Linked DNA regions of Ovis aries. Each later gene encodes a partner of the first gene's protein in a complex. Links are inferred from orthologs where the notes say so. Each region holds a gene or a part of one and is shown on either strand. Other genes may lie near its edges.

Evidence for each region. Proteins that work in one complex are often made in the same cells at the same time.
Region 2: TIMM50 (region 1) and TIMM17A share a complex: the UniProt entries of both Homo sapiens proteins name them as parts of the TIM23 complex. The link is inferred for Ovis aries from reciprocal best matches to the Homo sapiens genes TIMM50 and TIMM17A.

Annotation. Positions count from the first base shown.
Region 1 is NC_056067.1:48,516,280-48,520,579, forward strand, and holds the start of TIMM50 (mitochondrial import inner membrane translocase subunit TIM50), read left to right. Parts: upstream 1-1,500; 5' UTR 1,501-1,511; coding exon 1,512-1,619; intron 1,620-2,547; coding exon 2,548-2,704; intron 2,705-3,227; coding exon 3,228-3,259; intron 3,260-3,464; coding exon 3,465-3,486; intron 3,487-4,300. UniProt on the Homo sapiens protein: Essential component of the TIM23 complex, a complex that mediates the translocation of transit peptide-containing proteins across the mitochondrial inner membrane. Has some phosphatase activity in vitro; however such activity may not be relevant in vivo.
Region 2 is NC_056065.1:79,927,939-79,932,189, forward strand, and holds the start of TIMM17A (mitochondrial import inner membrane translocase subunit Tim17-A), read right to left. Parts: upstream 2,801-4,251; 5' UTR 2,768-2,800; coding exon 2,742-2,767; intron 1-2,741. UniProt on the Homo sapiens protein: Essential component of the TIM23 complex, a complex that mediates the translocation of transit peptide-containing proteins across the mitochondrial inner membrane.

The DNA of each region.
Region 1 (4,300 bases):
GTGATTGACAAAGTTACATCTAACTTGTGCTTGAGCTGTGTTAGGTGAAAATTAGTGTCCCCTCTGCAAGGAGATCAAGCCAGTCAATTGTAAAGGAAATCAACCCTAAATATTGGAAGAACGGATGCGGAAACTGAAGCTCCAATACTTTTGCCACCTGATGCGAAGAGCCGACTCAGTAGAAAAGACCCTGATGCTGGCAAAGATTGAGAGGGGGACGACAGGACAAGATGGTTGGATGCCATCATTGACACAATGGACATGAGTTTGAGCAACCTCCGAGAGATGGTGAAGGACAGGCAAGCCTGGCATGCTGCAGTTCATGGAGTCGCAAACACTTGGGACATGACTGAGTGGTGGAACAACAATCCCTCCACAAATCTAAATAGGACCTATGGTGCAGGCTCCAGCATCTGATGGTCCTTTCCCTCGAGTCCATCTAGCAGTAACCTCAGAATCGCTGTAGCTCATCTAAGGGCTTGGGTGGGGCTGGGGAGCAGTGTAGAGAATGGGGCTTAGTACCTTAACCACCTTCACTTTTCTCATTTGATGTTCACGTCTTCTTACAAATGTAATATAACTTGTATTAAAATAGTTCAAATGTTTTAAAGGATATGTCAGGAGCACCCATGTCCCCACCACCCAATTTAGGAGCTATCTGTGTACCAAATAAGAAGGACCAGTCCATTTCCCTCCAGAAGTAACACAACCCTAAAATTCTGTGTCTTTCACCTGACTTCGTATGTTTACTACCTTAGTTGTTGCTGTTGTTTAGTCGCTCAGTCCTGTCTGACTCTTGTGACCGACGACCCCGTGGACTGTAGTCCAGGTTCCTCTGACCATGGGATATTCCAGGCAAGAATACTGGAGTGGGTTGTCATTTCCTTCTCCAGGGGATCTTCCCCACCCAGGAATGGAACCTGCGTCTCCTGCTTGTCAGGCGGATTCTTTATCACTGAGCCACCTGGGAAGTCCTTATTATCTTAGTATTTATCCCTAAATGCCGTGTGGTGATTTACATGTGGAAGATTAATCATGGCTCCCGTAGCCTCTAATTCTCGGATTTCCTCTCAATACCCTGAGCCCGCAGCGGTTCGTTTGGCTGAGCCTCCATGAAACTGGCTGACTTTCCAGACCCAGTTTAGGAAACTCAAGCAAGAAAGGGCTGGGAGAAGGGGAGGGAAGGCGGATGAGACCTCTCGGTCGCTCGTGAGGAAGGTGTGTGAAGCTGGCTTTTAGTTTTTAGGACAAATCCAGCAACAATTAGGTCCCTTCCTTATGGCCTCCGCTTGACCCCGGGCAGTGGGTGTCCCGCCCCGTCCTGTGGCGCGGGCGCTGGAACGCCCTCCGGCCTGAGCAGGACGTGACGGCGGGAGACTCCCAGCCCGCAGCCTTTTGTCTCTCTCGGGCTCCCGTCCACCCACCCCGCCCCTGTATTACCATTGGCCGCGGCCCCGGCCCGGGGCGGGGGGAGAGAGTGAGGAGGCGGGGCCGCGTGGCGTCAGCGCAAGATGGCGGCCTCGGCGGCGCTGTTCCTGCGGTTGCGGAGCGGGCTCCGGCAAGGCGCGCGGGGGCTGTGTGCGAGGCTCGCGACGCCGCCCCCTCGGGCCCCGGACCAGGTGAGCCGGATGGGGTTGGTCCCCGGGTGCTGGGGCTCCTTCCTGTGGTTCCGGGCGGGCCGGGGCCGCCCGGAGCTTCTGGAACGCAGCACCTCAAGGTGCTGAATGGAACGCCACGCGCGTTTTGAGTCTCTTCCCCGCTTCCCGGGGTTGGCAGCCCTTGCTTCCCCGGGATAGATGCTTGGGGACTCAAGTGTGTCCTCTGAACCTTACCTCCTCTGGATCCCACCTCTTCTGGACCCCAGCTTCTCGACCCCACGTGGGCGCCGGGGAAGGAGGGGTCACCTGCTCTCCTGTCTCGGTGACGGTTCAGGTAATACTCGAGGGGGAGGGGCCCGGGACACTGGAGTCCCAGCCTGGCCTCGCGGTATTTTCCCCGCCGTGGTGCTGGTGGTGTTGCTAGGTCTTCTGATTCGACCTGCCTCCATCTTGACAGAGACCGTGCCCTTCTGACCTCCGGGTCCATTACTTCTGTGCCCTGCTCCCCAAGTCCTAGCAGGCTATTGCTCCTCCCTTCCGTCCCCCTCCATACGCCACTGTGAGCTCCAGACGGCCGGAGGACTTAACTCCCCGTCCTGTCCTCTTGCGTGGCCTTCAGTGGCTTGCTCCAGAAATCTTAGTCAGTGTTCAGTCAGGGTCCCTGATCGTATCTCCCTTCCCTGCTTCTCCACCCGCGCTCCGGTTCTGTAGGATCCTGGGCCCCGGGCTTGTCATCTCTTGAACCCCTGGGATCATAGCGCCAGTTTAGTTCTTGACTTTTCTGAGAGACCCAGTCCCCTACCTGCCCCTTTAGGCACACAACACCTGGAGGCCATATGGGTGTCCTCTTCCTGGCTCTCAACCTTGATTCTTCTTAGACCAGGGTGCTGGAAACACCCCGACCTTGTTTCTCTTCTTTCTTGGCCAAGCTACCCCCTCTCAATTGCAGGTTGCAGAGATTGGGAGCCGAGCAGGCACTAAGGCCCAGACGCAGGGACCACAGCAGCAGAGAAGCTCTGAGGGTCCCAGCTATGCCAAAAAAGTGGCACTCTGGCTCGCTGGGCTGCTTGGGGCTGGTGGGACCGTGAGCGTCATCTATATCTTCGGTGAGGAACATATCCCTGTCCCCCAGTTATGTTCTCTTGGCCCTCTGTTCTGCTGGGGGGACTGCCCCCTCTTTCCCCTAAGGACTTCACCCATCTTCTTTCCCTGGCTCCTCCCTCAGGGCAGCCAACTGGAACTTGGAAATGAGAGAAATCCCCCTACTACCCCTCTGCTCAAGGTTCTACTCCTTCTAGTTGGTTCCTGTACTAAGCTATAGGGAGTCAGTTTAAAGGGGGGAAGAAGAGGTCTGGACCAGCCCCCTAAGCTACGTTTTCCCTCAGCACCCAAAATTCCAGTCCTCCCTCTAGTCTGTTTATTCCTCAGAGACCCAGGAGACCCTGCCCCAGCCCTCCTTGTCTCAGAGACCCAGATATTCTGGCTACCAGCCCCCTCCTCTTTCTCAGGAGACCATACCTCTAGCCCCCTTCCCTCAGACCCAGGAGGCTAGGCCCTCTGCCCTCTTCCTCCCATAAGTCCCAGGAGACCAGGCCTCAAGTTTCTCATTCATCACTATCTCCCTTGCAGGAAACAATGCTGTGGATGAAAATGGTGCCAAGGTGAGTGGGAGAGAGACACAGAGGCCTTACCAGGGGTCGCATCCTGTGGGTCTCCTCCCATCTGGTCTGTTCAGGCTCCTTTCTGGTCTGGAGTGAACCCTCCCTCCCAGGGACCTTTGCCTGCTCCTCCCAGGGCCCCGGAGATTCCTTGCCTGGGTTTTGCCTCTGCCGTCCCAAACCCTTCTTTTTTCTCTCTACCTCCCAGATTCCCGATGAATTCGACAACGGTGAGTATACAATCGTAGATTCTGGGGTCCCCTGACCCTCTCTACTGTGCCCTCCCCATTTGGTTCCCCCCGCCCACTTCCACTGGGAGGTGGGGGAGTCAGCAGCTGTATGGCTTGGGGGAAGAGGGGCATACAGAACTCCAGTCCCCTTCCCTGGCCCCTCAGCCCAGGAGCAGATGGTCAGGGGCAGTGGGGGAGGGGACTCCTGGGTAGGTGGGACTGCCTGGGGGAGAACTGGGCTTTCTCTGCCAGACACATGGCTTCCTGTGCCTTAGATCTGAGCATCTGCAGCCCCTCACCCCCTTGTTTATGACAGCCTCTCTTTCCCACCAGGCCATAGCCCATCCAGCTCATTTCCAAAACAATGCCTCCTTCCTCCCTCCCCGCCTTCTGATTAGCCAGCTTTTAGGGAGTTTCTGACAAATTGGATAGTAGAGGGAAGCTGCCAATTCTATCACACCTGGTCCTTCCCAAGAGAAATATAAAACTGGTAGGTCCAGAAAGCCACTTGTTTGTGCTGGAGATGTTTGCAAGCCGGCATGTTATTACGTTGGTGTTGGCTCAGAGGGTAAAGCATCTGCCTTCAGTGCGGGAGACCCGGATTCAGTCCCTGCGTTGGGAAGATCCCCTGGAGAAGGAAATGGCAACCCACTCCAGTACTCTAGCCTGGAAAATTCCATGGACAGAGGAGCCTGGTAGGGTATAGTCCATGGGGTCACGAAGAGTCGGACACGACTGAACGACTTCACTTTCACTTTAAACTTGGCAGGTAGCTAAGTATGTGTTAACTGGGCAGATGTAGAGTCATACTGTT
Region 2 (4,251 bases), on another chromosome or scaffold:
TGCTTTCACTGCTGAGGCCGAGTTTGATTCCTGGCTGGGGAAGTAAGATCCCATAAGCTACTTGGTGCAGCCAAGAAAAAAAGAAAAAAAAGACAAAGGAGAGTCACTAGCTGTAAAAGGTTAATGATCCTACGATCAGAACGGAAATGAGCATTTTAAAAATCAGTAAAAAACAGCAGGATTCAGATCAGAGAGCAGCCACAGTATTCCACAAGATGATGTCTAAAACAAATGAAAAAAAAAAAGATAATAATAAAAAAAATGCAAGACGGAAACAGCTTCCGAACCGCGTCTGCGGAAATCAGTGTCCCTCACAAAGCTAAGTTGAGCCCAGACTCTAAACATAAATGCCAGGCAAACACAGGGCAACAGGGAACCAATAATGAATCACATGATCAAAAGTTACCATTTTTAAATACCCAATACGGTGGGCTTCCCGGTGGCTCAGTGGTAAAGAATCCTCCTTCCAGTGCAGGAGACATAGGTTCAGTCTCCGAGTCGGGAAGATCCCCTGAAGATCTACTGGCAGCCCACTCCAGTGTTCTCACCTGGAGAGCTCCATGGACAGAGGAGCCTGGCGGCTACAGTCCAAGGGGATGGGGACGCAGAGAGTCAGCTAAGACTGAGCGGCTGCACAGTACACGGTTTAGGCGGTTTATGACGCAAACAGCCTTACCTTCTGGAAAGCCAGCCTATTTCCTTATGAAGTGAAGTGTTAGCTGCTCAGTCATGTCCGACTTCTTGCAATGCCATGGGCTGCAACCCACCAGGCTTCTCTGTCCATGGGATTTTCCAGGCAAGAATACTGGAGTGGGGTGCCATTTCTTACTCCAGGGGATCTTCCCGACCCAGGGATTGAACCCGGGTCTCCTGCATTGCAGGCAGACTCTTTACCATCTGAGTTACCAGGGAGGCCCTTATAGAGTGCCTAGTCTTTTAACTTTGCAAAAGAATATTCCTGTTTCCTCTCCATTTCACAGATGAACAGAGGCTAAGAGATGAAGCGCTTTGAGCAAGATCACACAGGTATTGATAGAACCAATTCAAATACAAACCCCCCAAGTTCTTTCTACCACAGACCAAGGGCTTCTGAGAACACGTGATCAAAGAGTGAGATGAAGATGAAGCTATGACATACTCAGGACGGAACTAAAGAGCCTCCTGATGAAGGTGAGAGAGTGAAAAGGCTGGCTTAAAACTCAACGTTCAAAAAACTAACAAGAGCATGGCGTCGGGTCCCATCAAACAGATGGAAAAGTGGAGACAGTAACAGGCTTTCTTCTCTTGGGCTCCAAAACCACTGCGAATGATGGCTGGAGCCATGAAATTAAAAGATACTTGCCCCCTTTCAGGAAAGCTGTGACAAACCTAGACAGTGTATTAAAAAGCAGAGACATCACTTTGCCAACAAAGGTTCGTATAGTCAAGGCAATGGTTTTTCCAGTATTCATGTACCGATGTGAGAGCTGAACCATAAAGAAGGCTGAGTGCCGAAGAATTGATGCTTCCAAATTGTGGTGCTGGGGAAGACTCTTGAGAGTCCCATGGACTGCAAGATCATCAAACCAATGGATCCTAAAAGAAATCAACCCTGAATATCCACTGGAAGGGCTGAAGCTGAAGCTCTGGCCACCTGGTGTGAAGAGCTGACTCACTGGAAAAGACCGTGACGCTGGAAGACTGAGGGCAAGAGGAGAAGGGGGCAAAAGAGGATGAGATGGTTGGGCAGCATCATCGACTCAATGGACATGAGTTTGAGCAAACTCCAGGAGCTAGTGAAGGTCAGGGAAGCCTGGTGTGCGGCCGTCCATGGGGTCGCAAAGAGTCAGACACAACCTAGAGACTGAACAAACTGAATAGAGAATGGAAATTTAATATTCTAAAATCTTTAACCCAACACAGTCACATATTTCCCCCTCCTACCGCCCCGTGTCACATACGGAGGAGCAAGTGACAACGGCGGCGCCGCGCTGAGCCCTGCACACCTGAGCACCACCCACGAAGGGGGGCCACTGTCTTTGGAGAAGATAAATTTAAAGAGCTGGGAGGCGCTGAAACACACGCTCTGTCTCATTTCAGAGAGGACAACAGCAGGAAGCAGCAGCCTGGCTAGCTCGGGCAGTGTCAAAGCCCTGGGCCCTTTCACACAGCTGGAGAACACCCTGGTTCCTGCCCCTGCACTCTTGCACAAGAACTCAAATAACAAGATCTGATTTGTCATTCTTGACCCCAGAAGGCTTGAACTCCTCCACGCTTTCACTCCTGGGACAGACGAACGAACGGACCGCTGTCGGCGCCTTGGCGAGCACACTCCACTCTCCCCGTTCTCCTGGGCGCGCCGTCCCGTCCCCACCACGCGGGGCCCCCTCCACCGCCCGCTCCCCACCGCCCGGACCGCAGCCGCCGCGCCACGCGGACCCTCCCAGGACACGGCCGCCTCCCCTCGCAGGGCGAGCCGCGCGGACGCAAGGACGAGCCCAGGATCGCCAGCGGGCAGCGGGGATGCTCCCCACACGCCGCCGGGCAGGGGTCGCGGCGACACAGACGAGCCGGGGCGCCCTCGAGCCGCCGCAAGGTCACCGGGAACAGCTCCGGCGGCCCCAGCCGGCCGCTCACGTCCGGGTGCCCCCGGCCCCTGGCGCCGCCCAGCCCGCAGCTGAGAGCGGCCTCGAACCGGGAGCGCGGGGGCCCGGGGATCCGGGGCCGAAGGCGGCAGCGGGGCAGGCGGCAGGCAGGCTCACCAGGGCTCGCGCGCGTACTCCTCCATCTTGCCTCCGCGGCTCCGCGATGCCGGGCGAACAGAGCGGGGCCGGCCCGGCGGCGGAAGTGATCCCAGGAGGAGAGCGTTAGACTCTGCGAGGATTGGCTGGCCGCCTCCCGCTGCAGCCAATCGGAGCCGGGGACTGAGCTGCGGGGCGAGGGCGGGACCCCGGCTCAGAGGGCGGGGCGGGGCTGGGGGCGGGGCTCCTGGCGGAAGGCAGGGCTCTGGGAGTGGGCGGGGCTCCGGCGCAGAGGGCGGGGCGGGGCGTAGGGTGCCGGGGGCGGGGCGTAGGGTGCCGGGGGCGGGGCGGGGCTCCAGGTGCGGAGAGGTACCCATCACTGAAGTCACCCGCCCGGGTTGCTCCGCTGGAGCTCCCCTAACTCCTGGACCCGTTTCTTTGTTCTAGCACCTGGCTGTCAAGTGTGCATGAATGCTACCTACTTCGTCTGGGTGGGTGAGGCCCCACCGACTTCCCGGAGCTCCTGAGGGCAGGCAGTGCCCAGGTCCTTTGACTCTCAGCGCTGGGAAGTAGTGGGTGTCCCTTAAATGTTTTTGATAATCTGGGACGCTGTGACCCGTGGGGGTTTCTACACACCGGAGCATGAGAAGGTCTCCCCTTGGAAACCGTTGCTATAAGCAGGTCTCCTGACAAGGCTGAGGCAGGACTGCCCCTGGAGCAGGGGTCTTCAAGCTCCAGGACACTAAAGGTACAGCTCTCTCTCCCCTCACTTGAGCAGACTGTCTGCCCTCCAGGGTAATAGCGATGTACAGTGAGCTCACAGACTGATGGCATCTTGTGTGGAGGATGCAAGGGAGAAGCCTTCTCCACACTCACACCTGCAGAGGGATGCACGTTTTCAGAACCGACATCCCCTTAGAGGGTCCTACTCCCCAGTGGGTTGAGCTCCAGTGAGCCAGAGGCTTGGGTGCCTCAACAGCTCCACCCAGCAGAAGGTCGCCGCCCCCAGCCCCACCTGGCCTGATGGATGAGTGAAGCTGGCACCACCTCCGGCTCTGGGTCTGGGGCTCTGGTCTATGACTGGGGCCTGATGGGGGTTTAGGCTGGGCAGGGGTGGGGGTGGGGAGGTGGGCTCTTTTCTGCCCTCTCCCCCCTCCCCCACCCTCTTTTCAGGAAGATGTGTGCCCTCTGCCCTCTCTCTTGGGGCTCTCCGCTCCTCCCAGGAGTGTGGGCCAGGCCAGGGGCTGGCTTCAGAGGCAGAGTCTGCTTCGCCAGAGGAACCTCCGGCCTCCCTGACGGGGAGGAAGCTGGGGAGGAAGCTGGGGAGGCCGTAAACGGCGCGGACAGGCCAAGTGCTCGCAGCGCCCCTTGCCTTGTGCGCGCCATCGTATTGGCGTCTTCAGTAACTCCATGGCGCTTGCAGTGAGCGTTCTTCTTTCTCCAGGTACTTCTAGGATTCTTGTCTTCCATTTCCTGCAGCTCAGAAAGGGTAAATAACTCACTCAAGGGCACACATTTCAGATTTGAGCCC